Linked DNA regions of Notamacropus eugenii. The protein of the gene in region 1 interacts with the protein of each later gene in a pairwise test. Links are inferred from orthologs where the notes say so. Each region holds a gene or a part of one and is shown on either strand. Other genes may lie near its edges.

Evidence for each region.
Region 2: the proteins of LEMD3 (region 1) and SMAD9 interact in binary tests that used the Homo sapiens proteins (3 or more experiments, as listed by UniProt). The link is inferred for Notamacropus eugenii from reciprocal best matches to the Homo sapiens genes LEMD3 and SMAD9.

The regions. Positions count from the first base shown.
Region 1 is NC_092874.1:241,937,934-241,945,593, reverse strand, and holds the start of LEMD3 (inner nuclear membrane protein Man1), read right to left. Parts: upstream 3,007-7,660; 5' UTR 2,903-3,006; coding exon 1,390-2,902; intron 1-1,389.
Region 2 is NC_092876.1:98,422,029-98,429,960, forward strand, and holds the start of SMAD9 (mothers against decapentaplegic homolog 9), read right to left. Parts: upstream 3,022-7,932; 5' UTR 2,738-3,021; intron 2,718-2,737; exon of another isoform or gene 2,408-2,717; intron 2,360-2,407; exon of another isoform or gene 2,305-2,359; intron 1-2,304. UniProt on the Homo sapiens protein: Transcriptional modulator activated by BMP (bone morphogenetic proteins) type 1 receptor kinase. SMAD9 is a receptor-regulated SMAD (R-SMAD).

The DNA.
Region 1 (7,660 bases):
ACAATCGTTGAATTGACTTCCAAAATACCACAGCAGAAGTCAATTACTGTTGACAGTTTGGGGAACAACATCTAAATGTTTCTAAGTCAAGCACTAATCTTTCAGAGCATGCAAAAAGAGTGCTGGATTGGAAATCAGAGGCTGTGTAACCCTGAACCTTTCTGGGCCTTCCTTAGTTCTTAATTTGTAAAATGAGGGAGCAGACTAATAACCACCAAGGTCCCTTCCAGCTCTAAATTTATGATCCTATAACCCAATATAAGATTTGCTAGTAATTTTTCTGGACAATGTACAGGGGAAATGATTCACCACATCTCCAAAAAAGCCTCACTAATCACCCTGCTAAAGAGCCAGAAATTATGCTCTCAGAGCTACTTAGAATGAGCATAAATCATACTATAGTAACTGCTTAGTGTAAGAGCCAAAAATCTCATTATAAAAAGCAAATGACTGTAACTGTATTTATCAACAGCACTCATCCCAGGTGAGGAGGGGATGCATTCTTAACTCCAGAAATTCACATAGGTGGGTATGCTGTTTCTATTCTCCATTAAAGTATTATTTTTCATATTAGTGAATCTCATGTTTAATACATTTAAAAGAGCACTGATGTCTCAATCTGAGAGGAAGTTTTCGGGATAAATAAGATGCTCCACAAAGTAAGACACACTTGCCAATTATTTTTAAAATTCCATCTACCAAAAGCAGGTATATTACAGTTCAAAACAGAAAGCAGATTTAAAGTTGGAAAGGTCCTTAAAAGTCAGAGTCCAACCTCTCATCTCAGAGACAAGAAAACTGAGGGTCAGAGAGGTTACCTGACTCACCCATGGATCACACAGGAAGCAAAAAGCATAACCTAAATTTAAACTCAGATTTTTTTTTTTTACTCCAAATCCATTGTTCTTTCCATTATACCACTGAATATACTACTTATATCGTGTAGGTGACTCTGCTCTTCTTCTGGGGTGTTTTGGACCTCCTGCATAATCTGTAGATAAAGAATTTTCAAACCCAAACAAGTTAACACATTCCAATGGCAGGCTGTAAGATAAATATAACGTTTGACAAACAACTTGATGTTCACAACTTCAAACCTTGTTTCTGATCCAAGAGTCACCTAAAGTAAAATGACAATTACAATATGTTTAGGAATTAGGGCCTGGACCTGTGAATTTCACTGGTGCACGGAACTCCTGGTGAAGGAAATTCTGTCAGCCAAGGCAGATCAGCACCTTCCTCCCACATGTACCTCGCTCTGAGAAGTTAAGTCACCCAGGCTGCCTCCAAGGCCAATAACTCCCTTTCCATTATCCCAAGATGCCCCCACTACAAAATGGGTTACTGGGGCAGGGGAAAGGGAGGTCTTACTCACTGACCAATACTTACTGTTGAGTGCCCCGTCCTCAGACACTCCAGTACCTCTCATGCCGAGGTAGGTGAGCCCAAGTATCAGGAAAAACAAGCAGGCAGCAGTCAAGAGAAACATGGATAAATAGTGGGCACTGAAGCCACCCGTGGTGGACACCTCCTCCCGTTTAAATTGCTGGAGAAGTTCCTCCTCCGGTTCTGAAAGCTTATGCTTGTTGTAGGTGTTTTTCAGGTAGGTATGATTGGAGCCCGTGTGATTGGAGTGATTGATCCTGAGCGAGGGGGAGGAGGCTGAGCCCATCAGAGGGTTGTGCGGGAGGCTGTTGGCGTAGACCCTGGAGGGGTCCAAGTGGAAACCCCCCCGACCGATGTGGTTGTTAGTTTTGCGATCCAGGGCCAGATCCCCGTCGGGGAGGGTCGAGGGCAGGAGTGGGGGCTGTTTCTTGGAGGTCAGGCGGTATCTGGGAATGGGGCTGCAGTCCAGCGGGTCGCCTCCCCCTCCCTCCTCCGGACCTCGCCTCCGGTCTAGACCGCCGGCGGCCCTGTCATTTCCCGGGCAGCCGCCGCCGGCCGCCGCGGGGTGCGAGGCCTCCCCTCGAGAGCCCGCGGGGGGCTTGCCGTGGCCGCGCCTGGGCCGGGACCGGAGCAGCGAGTCGTCCCTGAAGAGCGGCCGGGCGACGGCCACGTTGTCCTGCTCCTCCTCCTCCTCCGAGTCCGAGTAGTTCTCCCGGCAGCTGAAGGGGAGGAGCCGGCTGCCGTTCACGGGCCGGCTGCTCCAGCGCAGCTCCTCGCCCTCCGGCTCCCTCTCGCCGCCGCCGTCCGCTCCCTCCTCTGCGTCCTCCGGCGCGCCCTCTCTCCCCGGCGGCCCCAGGGGGTCCGGGCCGGCCGCGGCTCTCCGGGCCCCCCACCACGCGTGCGGCTTCCTCCTCTCGGCGGGCTGGCCGGGGCCCGCCTCGCCGTCGGCCAGGGGCGCGGGCTTGAGTCCGCCGCGGGACTGCAGGGCCGCCCGCTCCTTCCTGCCGCCGCTGGCCTGGTCCCGGGGGCTGGCCTCGGCGTCCGACTCGTCCGAGCTGAAGCCCAGCAGCACCTTGCTGCCGCCGCCGGCGCCGGCCAGGGCGGGGGCGGCCGCGGCTCCGGGCGGGTTATCGGGGGCCGAGGCCGAGCCGCGGCCGAGCGCCGCCGAGGTCCGCAGGTACGAGAGGTCGCCCGGCGGCGGCCTGCCCCCCGCGCCGGCGGCGGCCGCCCCCGCCCCCGCCCCCGGCGGCGCCCCCGCGGCCGCCGTGTTATTGTTGTTGCTGTTCCGCGTCTTGGCGCTGCGGGCCCCGGTCCGGTGCGGCGGCGGCTGCTGCTCCTGCGGCGGCGCCGGCGGCTGCTGCTGCTCCTCCTCGCGGAGCTTCTTCAGCTTCTTCAGGTAGACGGGCCGGGTGCTCTCCGTCACCGGGCCGGGAGACAGGCCGTAACGGCGGAGCTGAGAGAAGAGCTCCTCATCCGAGAGCTGCTGAGCCGCCGAAGCCGCCGCTGCAGCCGCCATCTTCTCTCTTGGGTGTTTTACAAGCTCCGCGCTACCGGAAGTGACGCGCCCACCCTAGACCCTGAACTAGACCCGTCGGCGTTGGCCTTCCCGAGCCGGCGGCGCCTGGGCCAATGGGAGGCGTGGGAAGGACTCACCTGAGCGGGAAGGGCCCACGTAAGGTGCGGCGGCGGGGAGGGGGGGAGCGCGCGGACGGTCGGCGCGCGCATCTCCGGGGAGGGGGCTGGCTCGGCTTGGGGGGGCGTGCGCGGACTCCGGCGCCCGACCCTGGGCTGCGCCTTCGAGAGCACCTTGACCGCCGCCCCCTCGCCGGGCTCGGCCGACCCCCTCGAGAGGAGGACGGGGAGGGTCCGCCCGGCAGCCCCGGCTCTCTTTGTCTCCCGTAGCCCGGACACTTTCTCCTTCCCTTCATGGATGACCTTAGCTTTTTTCTGTCTTTTTAATGCAAGAAAACGTTACTTCCCCAGCCGGGGCCTTTTACCAAAGAAGGAGGAAGAGGAAAAAAGAGGAGGGAGAAGGAGAAAGGGGAGGGAGAAGGAAGAATCAGAAAAGGAGGACTGATGAGTTTCTGGACGAGAGCTAACCTGCTTTTCTAAGGTCAAGGCTGCCAGGCCCCCAACCTACTGTAAGGAACCCACAAATTTCCTTTGCCAGCCCCCCATCCACATTTTTGAAAAATACCCCTGGGTCTGAGATGCCCAGCCTTGTTTATTTTTGAAAGGCTAGCGAATTAAACGAATCTGATTTTGAGAATCTTTTAAAGGCTTTGATTTCATTGTGGTTATAATTCGGAGAAGATTGCAGAAACCGTTTTTTGGTCATTTACTCCTCTGGAAGCAGGTGTCCAGGGTTGAACTTTATGAGTGAAGAATTTCTGGGAGTAGAGGAGCCTTGAACCTGAGCTCGTACCATCCCCTCTCCCCCAGGGACTTTCTGAAGGTGGTAAACCATTGTTCCACTGAGTAAACAACCGGCAAGTTTGCCCTGAAAACCACTGATTCTTGCTTTCTCCATCCCCTGAATACTGCAAGAGAATACTTAGAACTGGGCTTCTGCCAAAAAATATTTTCTCAGGGAAAACCTTTAAATTGAATACCATTTCATCCGGTCCCTGAGGATTTAAATCTGAACCTTTGGGACTAGAAATGTATTGTTTTTGCATGTTGAGAGGAAAATAGTTACAAACTTGCCTTAGCTACATAGTATCTATCCCATGTCTGGAACAGAGATACATATGCATGTTTTAGTGCCATGTCATGGCTAGGTGACTGTGCAAATTTTATAACTTGTAATGGAATCACAGAATTTCGTTTGAAAAAGACACAAGTAGCCATCTTATTCAGCCAAGTCCTTATTCCAGCATTCCTGACCAGTGGTCATCAAACAGGATGATGAAAGCAGTGCAAAAAAGGCACTAGAGTCTGGCTAGCATAGATAAATAAGAAGATTGTTGGAGGCAGCAAAATGCATTCTCTGGTTGAGCCCCACTTGTAAAGCACTTATCAAAGGATCTGGCAAATAGTAAGCAGTATATAAATGTTTGCTATCATGATTAGTATTATTATCATTATTTTATTACATTACAAAGCAAGTGAGGTCTAATGGGATGTTTCCAAGCTCTTGGATTTATTTTCTTCCTTACAAAGATGTGATTCAGTTTTACGATATTAGTATATTAGAAAGCTGGCCTTGGACCCAGGAAGACCTGAGTTCAAATTTCCCACCACTGTAAAAGTTAAACTGAATATGGAGCTGTTATATAAATTGCCTTTGAATTAAAAAAAAAAAGATTCTATGTGACTTTAAACAGCCCTCCCTCATTTAAATGCAATTCACTTGCAAGTCACAGCATCACCTTCCTGGTGCTATGATCCTCTTCCTAATGAAGGACAAAACTGTGAATAGTACATGCTGCCCACTGAACCAAACTGATCAGTTCTAGTTGAGCAAGACAGCTCTTACCCTCTCCTTTCTTGTTTTCCTCTCCCCTTCTTTTCCCTTCTTCCTTTTCCCTCTGTCCATTTTGGGTATTATACCCTCACTTCTGGGTACTCTACACAAAGGAATATAAATTTTGATCCTTGAAACCTCTGAAGATATCTTGGGATTTAGGTGCTAGATTTCTTTCTTAATGACCATACCTTAAACCCAATTCACTCTGGTTCTCATTGGTTGGCTGACAGTAGGTCCTAACCCAGGCCCCACTTAGTGGTCATTATTTGGGTCCTGATTGGTTCAGAGTAAATGTAAGTAGAATTTGTTTCTGTTTTGGTCAAAAACCCTGAGGTTCTTCCCTTCCCAGATTGATTTTTTTTTTTAATTAGGCAAAAGAGGCCATATTTTGTCTCATTTCTTACCTAGCCTTATTCACTGGATGGGCATTTCCTCAGTCAAACTGAGACCCGTTAAACCCCTTAGCTTAAAAAGACCAAGGTTTCCCACTACATCTGGGGCCATCACCAGTCATCCTGAATTATTTCTTGCCACTGGTTCTAGTTGGATCCTGAGGAGAAAGTGAGACTGGTGACTTTGCACAGCCCTCCCTCATTTAAATCCAGTTCACTTACAAGTCATGGCATCACCTTCCTGATACTATGGTCCTCTTTGAGAACAAAGGACAAACAATAATTAATGTTTAGAGAGCTGGCCTTGGAACCACGGAAGACCTTTCTTCAAATCTTCCACTATGGTAAAAGTTAAACTGAACATGGAGTTGTTATGTAAGTTGCCTTTGAACTGAAAGACAAGGATTCTATGTGTAATGCAAGAAGGTAGTTTCAGATACAGGTCTATTCAACTGAATGAGCATCACCTCACTCTAAGTGAGTACTGAAAAGGCCTTAGCCTAAAAGGCCAAGGTCTCCCATTGCATTCTGGGCTGTCTCCAGTCATCCTGAGGAAGATCTGGTCATTGGATCCAGATGGCTCAGGAGGAGAAAGTGAGGCTGGTGACCTTGCAAGCCCTCTCTCACTTAAAACAAAGTCAAGTGCACATCATGTCATCATTTCTCTGATGTCATGGTCCTCTTTGAGAAGGAGGATAAACAGTTTCAGATAAGTCTTTATATGGCCCAAGAGCTTCCTCCTTCTGAGTTCCAAGAAAAAGTATGCCAAAAGATGGACAATTTTCACTGTGTTGAAGATGTGGAAATTAATCCTGTCCTTGTTTCCTCAAGAGATCCTGTCACTTTTGCTTTCTCAGAAATTAACTAGAACGATAGGGACACATAAATAAAATTACTAAAGAGCGGTAACTGCTTATGATTAGAGTCTGGAAGGCTAAAATCCTCAAATGAGCTGAAGTTTATAAAAATATATACTGAAGAAAAACATACTTTAAAACTAAAATTTATTCAAAACTAGGAAGAAAAAGAAAACATAGAGAGTTATAGCAGTGTTGAGTTAAGATTGTTCAACCACTCCTATTTACTTCCTTTATTCCTCCTATTGGCCTTGTGTAGATGGGTTTCCCAATCTGTTCTGGGAAAGGATGTAAGGATTTATAACTCGCTAGTATTTATGACTAGGTGCTACCAGCCAGAGGAGATAGCACCCATCTCAATGTTAGATCTCTTTTCCTCTTCTCTTTTAATATTTAAAATATAGAAAAGTAAACAGACTTTTCTGGGGAGAGGTTTTGAGCTTCCATTAGGGAGCCCAAGGGGAAAAGGAGATAAAGGATTACCACCTTAGAGTTGTAGTCTTTGGGAAGGTTAATCTGCTTGTCCTAGAGAGAGGGTATATGAAGACATCCATTTAGATTGCCCTGAATGGTTCAGTGGTTCGTTGGAGAAATGGAAGGTGGCCTGTGTGCTGCAAGGGCTCAGAGGAAATTTTATGACATAAGAGTGAACTTACCCTTCCAGTGAGGTTTCTTAGTAGTAAAAGGCATGAACACTCAGTCAACCCTGAGCTGGTTGAGTTAGTATCCTTAGCTATATGTGATCTTTACAGATTATTAACATGGCTTTTGTACTGATACTCCTTATACTCCAAGCAATCTTGCTATCAAGAAGGGAAAAGGGAAGGGAACAAATAATTATTAAGCGTGTATAAGGCACAATTCTAAACACTTACAAATATTATCTTACTTAATCCTCAACAATAATCCTATAAGGTAAGTACTGTAATTATCCTCATTTTACAGTTGAGAAAACTGAGGCAGACAGGGGCCTGATTTGAACTCAAATCTTTGTGACTCCAAGCCCAACTTTCTGTCCACTGCAGCCATCAGAAAGCCTGAAGTACCTCAGACTAACTGGACTATGTCTTTTAAGAGTCACCCTGGGGTATGACTCCTAATTCTCCAGTATAATTGCTCCCTTCTGATTCACTCAGGTACTTATTTGTACCTCATAAAGGAATCACTTGGCTTAGTCTGAATTTTTACAGTTAGTTTAACACCTTGTTATCATCCCCAATAGTATAATATTAACATTAAGGCAAGCATGATTAACTCCTATTTTGCTTTCATCCACTCTAAAGCATATAGTACCCGCTCAAGGCCATACTTCTGGAAAGAGTATTCTACCTTCCCTGCCTCTACGTCTCCCCATCTACACATTCTTCAACTTAGTGTAATTTGGCCTTGGTTTCTACTACGCTATTGAAATTACCCTTTTAAAGGTCACTACCAATTAATTGCCAAACAATGATCTTTTCTCCTCATTCTACCTGACTATTCTGAAACTTTTAAGGCTGTTTTATACCTTGTCTTATGTGACTCTGCCCTCTCTAGTTCTACCTTTTTGATCTACC
Region 2 (7,932 bases), on another chromosome or scaffold:
CCTGAAATGGTTGAACTGACCACCTGCTAGACTGAATTAAACAAATTGACTTATCATTCTGTTGTTTTTTAAACAGTCTCCAATGGAATCTTGCTTTGCAAACATCATTGTTCTCACTCAACATCTTAGCCAAAAGACTTTTATTGAATTCAATACTTGGGGATCTTTAGTTAGTCTGAAATTCTTAAAGTCAAAGAAAAATAAAATAAAAGAAAAGAAACCAAGCTAGCTTCCAATGACATCACAGGACAACTAAGAAATGATCATTATTTGGCATTTTAAGAATTAACCTGGAATTATTTTGTTTGCCTATAGATTATATAGATACAAATGATTTTCTGTTAAGTATATGATACCATTACTTTAAAATATGTTTATTCATGTCAAGAATTACTGAAGTTCTCTAAACATTATCAGCACTAATCTTCACGCATCTGGCAAATTCACTTAGTCAGCCAAAAAGGGGCTTCTCTATCACAGCAGATTAATAAAATGACCATTGAGTGCAGACATTGTGTTTCCAGCAAAGATGAGATGTTTTCCTCCTAAAAGTCTGCATTTCTTTGATTATATTTTAAAACTGTTTGGTAGCACCAAAATGCATTTGTCATGAATATTTTTAGAAGGCCATTATTTATAAACTATCTCATCATTTTCTTATCTGCAGTGGCCTTCTTGGACAACCACAGCTTGAACATATTTCAAAATCTTGTTCCCAGTTTCCTACTTCTTCAAGCATAGGAAAATTCATTCATTGAGAAGTTTTCTATTTTGGGCCACAATTTATTTTGGTTTTATTTTTAATTCCATTTTAAATATAGAATATCTATTTTTAAAATGTAAACATCTGATTTTACCCTTCACAATGATATCTCCTTAATCAAGACAGGACTACCATGTTAACATGCACAAACCTGCCGCAGGTGACATTATTATCTCCACTTTTATCTATCATTATTCCTGGCAAACCACATTCCCAAAACAATCCAAGTACATACAGCAAATCACTAAAATGGGAGCCGTCAATCGGGTCCATTAAGAGAACTTCACCCAGCTCTATCTGTTTACATCAACTTGTGAATTAGGGGGGGTAAGGGATGACTTAAATGCAATTTTACACCAAAATTTAATCTATTTCATTTGTAGGCTATTTCTCAAGGGTCCCATTTTGAGCAAAGAAAAGAACTCGGACCAACGGAGTATTTCTAAGCTGTCATGTTGAATTTCCACTTAAGGGGGTGGGGGGAGAGAATAATAACGGGAATACTTGTCAGCGATTAGCCATCCATAAAAATGTTTTCCCTTGCGCTCCTCCTTTCGATCACAATACTGGCGTCAGTTTGTCTCATGTATCTGTTCTCCCTCCTTACCTCCCCCCCCCACACACACTCCCCCCAAACAGAGACCTGGCAAGGAACCGCAAAGGCAAGGGAAAAGACAAATACAGCAGCCAGTGAAACGAATCCAAGGGCTAGCTCGGGCACACTTGAAAAACATTCCTCACTTGTCCTCTTTTAAGCGTCTCAAAGGTAAGCTACAAAACGGACGGTACGTGGGGTGACCCACCTGCCCTGCAGATTTCTTTAATCGTGCCAAAGAGTTACAGTTAATCACCCCCACTGCACCACGACCCCTCTCCCGATCCGAAATTCCCTCTTTCCCTTCCTTTACGCTCAGTCACAGGAATCGGTTACTTAGCTCCAGGTTTGGTACGGCAATGTGACTGGTGCCAGGCATCAGCGAGATGCCCGGGCAGTGGCGGGAAAGAAAGCGAGCATCTTAGCCCAAACCCTGGGCCAGGGCAGGAGCTGGGGGTCCAGCTCACTAGCTACCTCATCCACAGGCAACCCTCCCCTAGAGGACGCCCACCCGCCAGGGGCTGGCCAACCCTCCCACGCCCACCACCCCGGATTCCTGACAAGCGATCCCGCGAGGGGAGCATCCTCTAAAGGTCCAAGATCTTGTGAGGACCAGGTGGCTGCCATTGGGGCAGATGCGCAGGGCAGGGGGAAACAGCAGCGGGTCCCAAGACCCCGGGGCAGAAACGAAGTTTGTAACTCCCGGTCTGAAAGAAGGCACCGCGGAAAGGGGCAGTGCCCCTCACCCTTCCTTCCCACCCCACCCCCAACACCCACCCCAACGCAAAATGACAAAGCATGCTCCTGGCTTTAGGGAAACTTAAGCGATTTCCCCCACGCATAAACACGCGCGCGCGCACACCACACAACACACAGGCGCGCACAGACACTGCAGCTGAGGCCCCGCGCACAACTTGTAGATATTTGTACGGAGGGAGTCTCTTACCTGTCCCTGGTGATGCCACTCCCCCACCCCCACCCTCTTCTGGCGGCCCCCTCCTTCCCGGTGGGTGCCCCGCGCGTGCCCCCCTCTCCGAAGCGCTTCTCACCGCCTGCCCCGGGCGTGAGGACGGGCTGCCTGGCGGCGGCGGCGGCGCAGACACAGACAGCGGCGGGGCAGCGGCTGCAGGGGCATCGGCGGCAGCCCCAGCCCCAGCCCCAGCCGCAGCAGCAGCAGCAGCCCCAGCAGCCCCGACCGGCGTCAGTCAGGCTGGAGCCTCGCAGCCTCATCGCCCGTATTAGTGCGCCGACCTGGAAAGCCGCCAGAGAGCCTTTCTAGCTGGGTCCCGCCCCCGCCCCCGCCGAGAGATGGCAGGGAGGCAGCCCCGGAGGGGGGCCGGCCGGCGTCGGGGGACACGGCCAGCACCGCAAAACCCTACCCCGGGCTGCTTGTGCACGTGCCGGGAAATGTAGGGGAGCCAGAGACCCTGGGGCGGGGAGGGATGCGCCCGGAGGTCCTCTCCTTGCCTTCTCCCTTCGCCAGCTCTTTACTGTGCCATCCCCGCCACTGGCGCTTTTCCTGTCCGTGCCCCAATGGTGTCTAGCCCTCTTTCAGCTCCTTTTGGTTCCTTTTAATCGAAACCCAGCCGGAGCGCCACAATCCAAATACTAGGAAGTATGAGTTCGCTCCCAGAGCCCAGAGCCCTCATCTCTTGTCCTAGCCAGCCCTGCCTCTTCCTCCTCTTCTCTGGTATCTCTTTGTTCTTTCTACCTGGAACCTAAGATCAACCGGGAGGTTGTTTGTTAACAAATATTTAATACTGAAACACATTCGCTTGGGAACCGCAGGGTGCCCGGGTGCCGAGATGTCCTTCAGAGGCATTACTCTTAGTTACTTGAATTCGTCCCTTATTGGGTTTTTCAAAGAAAAGCCCTAGAAAGAGAACCCATTCCCCTCCACCCCACCCCCATCCAATGGATTTGCGTTGGCGCAAGCAAAACAAAATCTAATCACCCCGAGTGTCGTGCCGTGGTTAAAAGTAGTATAATTATGTGGATTGAGATTTCTCTTAAGTGTATTTATTTACTTAACACATAAGCATATAATATGTAACACTAGCCAATTTAATAAAGCTACAACCTTATATGCACGCTGGCTGTGTTAATGTACAACCGGCTTGCTCTGCAACTTAACTCTAAAAACTCACAGACCTGCCACCTAGAACTATATACCCTTGAATGGTATCAGGAGGGAGGGTACACACGGCTGGCCTCCGGTTCCTGCTCCACTGCATTCTAGTGGAAGCCAATAAGACAGCCCCTCTTTGAAAGCATGTTTAGGGTGTCAGTAAGGGAGAATTAGGCCTCACGGGAAGAGGCCAGTGAACTTGTGTGTAAGCTGAGTAGAATCACAGAATCATGGAATTTAAGAGTGGAAAAGACCTCAGCAGCTGTGTAGCGTCATCCATAAGGATTCCCCACTATAATATACTCTATAAATGATCATCTAGCATCTGCTTGAGGACCTACAACCAAGGGGAACCTATTGCCTCCAGAGGCAGGCTATTCCACTTTTGAACAGCTCTAATTGTTAGGGATTATTTTCCCTGACATCGACCCCAAATTTGCTGATTTTTAAAAATATGACTTAGCATCTCTCTCTCTCTCTCTCTCTCTCTCTCTCTCTCTCTCTCTGATACACACTGATTAAGTGACATATGGAAAGATATTGAACTTCTCAGTTCCTAATACAACTCTGTAAGATTCTAAATTGTTAGTCTGCATTAACTGAAGGAGTTTTTTCACATGGATTTTCCCACATGAAAAAAATAACTAATCAGTACTCAGAAAAAGACTCAACTCAATGTATTTTGACAGCTTGTTCAAAAATACTAACAATTCCCTGTACTAACGATTCCCTATTGATGACAAGATTCTCCAAATGCTTTCCTTGTTTAGTCATTTCAGTCATGTCCTATGACTTCAGTTGGAGTTATTTTGGCAAAGATACTGTAGTGATTTGTCATTTCCTTCTCTAACTCATTTTACAGGTGGGCACTGAGGCAAATCGGGTAAGTGACTTAGTAAGGGTCACACAGTTAGTAAGTGTCTAAGGCCAGATCTGAACTCTCCAAATGTTACTGTTAGTAAATAGCATGGTGCTAATTTCACTGAACCCAGACACACCACAAAGCCTCCTCAGTGAAATTTATAATTTTCCAAAAAGACTAGCTTAATCATCCATACTACAAACACAGTAGGCATGGAGGAAAAAACCCATTCCTAATATCATAAGATCATAGATTTAGTGCTAGGACAGACCTTAGAAAGCATCCAACCCTTTAGCACTTTTATGGATGAAAAAACTGAACCCCAGAAAGGTGGATCTTCCAAGGTCACCAAATTGGTAAGGGGTTGAAAGCTGTGTGTTCGTCCTTCATTGCCAAAGAAGACCACGCCATCAGAGAAACGATGACATGACTTGCACTTGATTTTGGTTTTTTTTGCGTAAGGGAGAGCTGTACAAGGTCACCAGCCCTGCTTCTCCTCCAGAGCCATCTGAGTCCAGTGACCAGATATTCATCAGGATGACTGGAGATGACCCAGGATGAGGCAATTAGGGGGGTTAAGGGACTTGCCCAAGGTCATACAGCTAGTGAGTATCAAGTGTCTGAGGTGAGATTTGAACTCAGGTCCTCCTGACTCTTGCACTGGTGCTCTATCTACTGTATCACCTAGCTGCCCCACATGTTGGGGTATAAGGTGTAAAAAGACTAGAAAGACAGGAGGGGCTACGTTATGAAGAGCTTTGAATGCCAAAAAGAGTGCTTGTATTTGCTCCTAGAGGCAAAAGGAAGCCACTAGAGTTTACTAAGTAGATCAGACTTGTACTTTAGGAACATCACTTTAGGAACTGAATGGAAGATGGCTTGAAGTGGGGAAAGATTTGAAGCAGACAGGCTATGGCAATAATCAAGGTGTGAGTTGATGAAGGCCTGAACTAGAGAGTGGTGGTAGCGTCAGAGGAGAGGAGACAGATTTGAACCAAGATTTTTTCAACTCCAACTTCAGAACCCTTTCCATCATGCCAAGATACTTAGAACACATTGTTGAACTAACAAGTTCAGAGTTAGTCTATGATTATTCTAATCCTGGGTGGGTATTGAAAACAGACAATAACAGAAACCAGAACTGAGAAGGATATCAAGCCAGTTTGTATTTGGGGAACTGAATGATGCTTTCAGTGACACCAAGTTATTTCTTGTTGCAAAAGCATATCTTTTTAAATGCAAATTATTTTCAAGTAGGCAATATTTTAGCACATTATTGAAAACCATGGTCTGTGAAGAATCAAGACGATAGGTGCCTCAAAGAGCAATGGAAAGATATGTTATGGGTGTAAGTGTTTGCAACATGTTCCCCGTAAAGGAGAAATGAGTTAGTAAAGCCCATGTGGTATCAGAAAAGAAGTTGGGTTGATCATGTGACAAGGATGAAAAACAAGAAACGAATAATACGGTCCTACATTGGCACCGTTAAGATATGGAAAAAGTCATGAATGAATGAGTGAATGAATAAATGTAAAACACATTGACAGATTTTTAGGCTATGTTGGGCAGTGCTAAATACTGGTGATATAAATATAAAAGTGAGAGTTCTCATGCTCAAGGAACTTATATTCTGATAGGACAGCTCAATGGGAAATGAAGGCCTCTAGGACACCCAGGGGCTCTTTGGGTAGGATTTACAAAGGACTTAATCAAAAATCACACCTGTTGGAAAAAGGTGTGGAGGGATTGTAATCAGTGCTGGGTGAAGTAATGTCCAATCTGATGAGGTCACAGACCCATCAAAATATTTACATATAATGGACCTGCTGGCCTTTCGTGCCCTAGATTCTGTGATTCCATCAGATTGTACCTGTTAGGTATCAGAAACAAAATGGCCTCAACCTGCTTCTGTGGCGGTAAATGTCTTCTGATTTCCAAATGTTATAATATTCTTAACAAATTCTTGCTTTCAACTTAGATTCCCAATACCTCAGTTCCTAAGAGTTGCTAAAATTTCACATTACTCAGGTGTTAAACATTCAACAGAATTCAATCCAACTATTCCTTCAAGAAGTAAGAGAAAAACAAAGAACTATATTCATAACAACACCTTCTATTATGGCAAAAACAAAAACAAAAATCTGACAACAAAGCAGGTAGATGGAAAGGAAGTACAAACAAACTCTATTATATGAGAGTAAAGGAATATTATTATTCAATAAGAAGAGATGAATGTGAGAAATTAATACAAATATAGAAAAATTTGTATGAGCCAGAGTGAGTGAAATAAGGAGAACCGCAGTCATAGCTACAATTCTGCGGTACAATGAATCAGCACTGGCTTTGGAGTTAAGAGAACTGGGGTTTAAATACCTCCCTGATGTTTACTATTCAAGTGACCTTGGGATGGTCCTCAGGTTCCATATCTATAAAACCAGGAAGTTGGAATAGGGGGCCCCTGAGATCCCTTATCTGTTTATATCTATGATTTTACAACTACAACAATGTAAAATACAAGATCACTAAAGGGAAAGACTCTAAGTAATTAAAAAGTGACAAGAGTCCTGGAGAATAGATTAAAAAATGTACCTACCTCCTCTCAGAGGAGAAGTGGAGAACTACTGAAGTAGAATGTCAAATATATTTTTGACTAAGGTCATTGGATCAGTTGTTTTTGCTCAAATTGTTTTTCCGTTATTTTCTTGTAAGGGAGGATTCCAGGATGGGAGAACAGAGGGTAGTATATCCAGAAATGATTAGGATACAAAAGCAAAAGATATCAATAATTTTTTTTAAATTAGGTTTGTTTTAACAGCATTGAATACACGAAAACTAACCAAGAACCCAAGGGTGAAAGTAGCAAAAAGACCACTCTGGTTTATTTAAGAAAAAAATTTTTAAACAAAATGTATTAAATTGTATTTTAATTTTCATCTTATATGGATACCATATACATAGGGTTTAAAGCTAAGAAAATATAAACTCTGTGTGGTACTAGCTACTTGTGATTTTGGCACAAACTCTTTACGTTCTCAGAATTCTTTCATCGTCTCTTGTTGGACCTGGATTTACAAATTCTTTGAGTGCTCACAGCCTGCTTTTTCTGTATACTCCCTGTTTCCTTACTGGTAAATATTTGTACTTACAGATATGATCCTTACCCCCTTTTAGAAGTTAGCCTCTATTCACTATTCCCTTCCAACCATTATTTATACAAATAGCATGTATTTAAAGTACACTGAGATATGGTGAATGCTTAGAAAGGAACTAGGAAATTCCATATTCAGGGCAGAAGGTTCAGTGTGCACAGTCTGCTGAGGGTAATCCAGAGTGATTATTGCACTAGCAGTGAGTGTGGGTTGTCCTGTATTATTCAGTTTGTAAATTACCCAGACTTCTTTGCTTTACCTTTCAACTGTATTTTCTTATTTTTTAGTCATCTCACTGCTTATTAGCCAAAGACTGAAAAATTTAAGATATAATAGAGATGAAACTCAAAATAATCACATTTTGCCATTTCCTAGTACCTTGTTTTAAAACTTTGGTTAGGTAGATCGATGCTTGCAATCAAAGATTCACCCAAT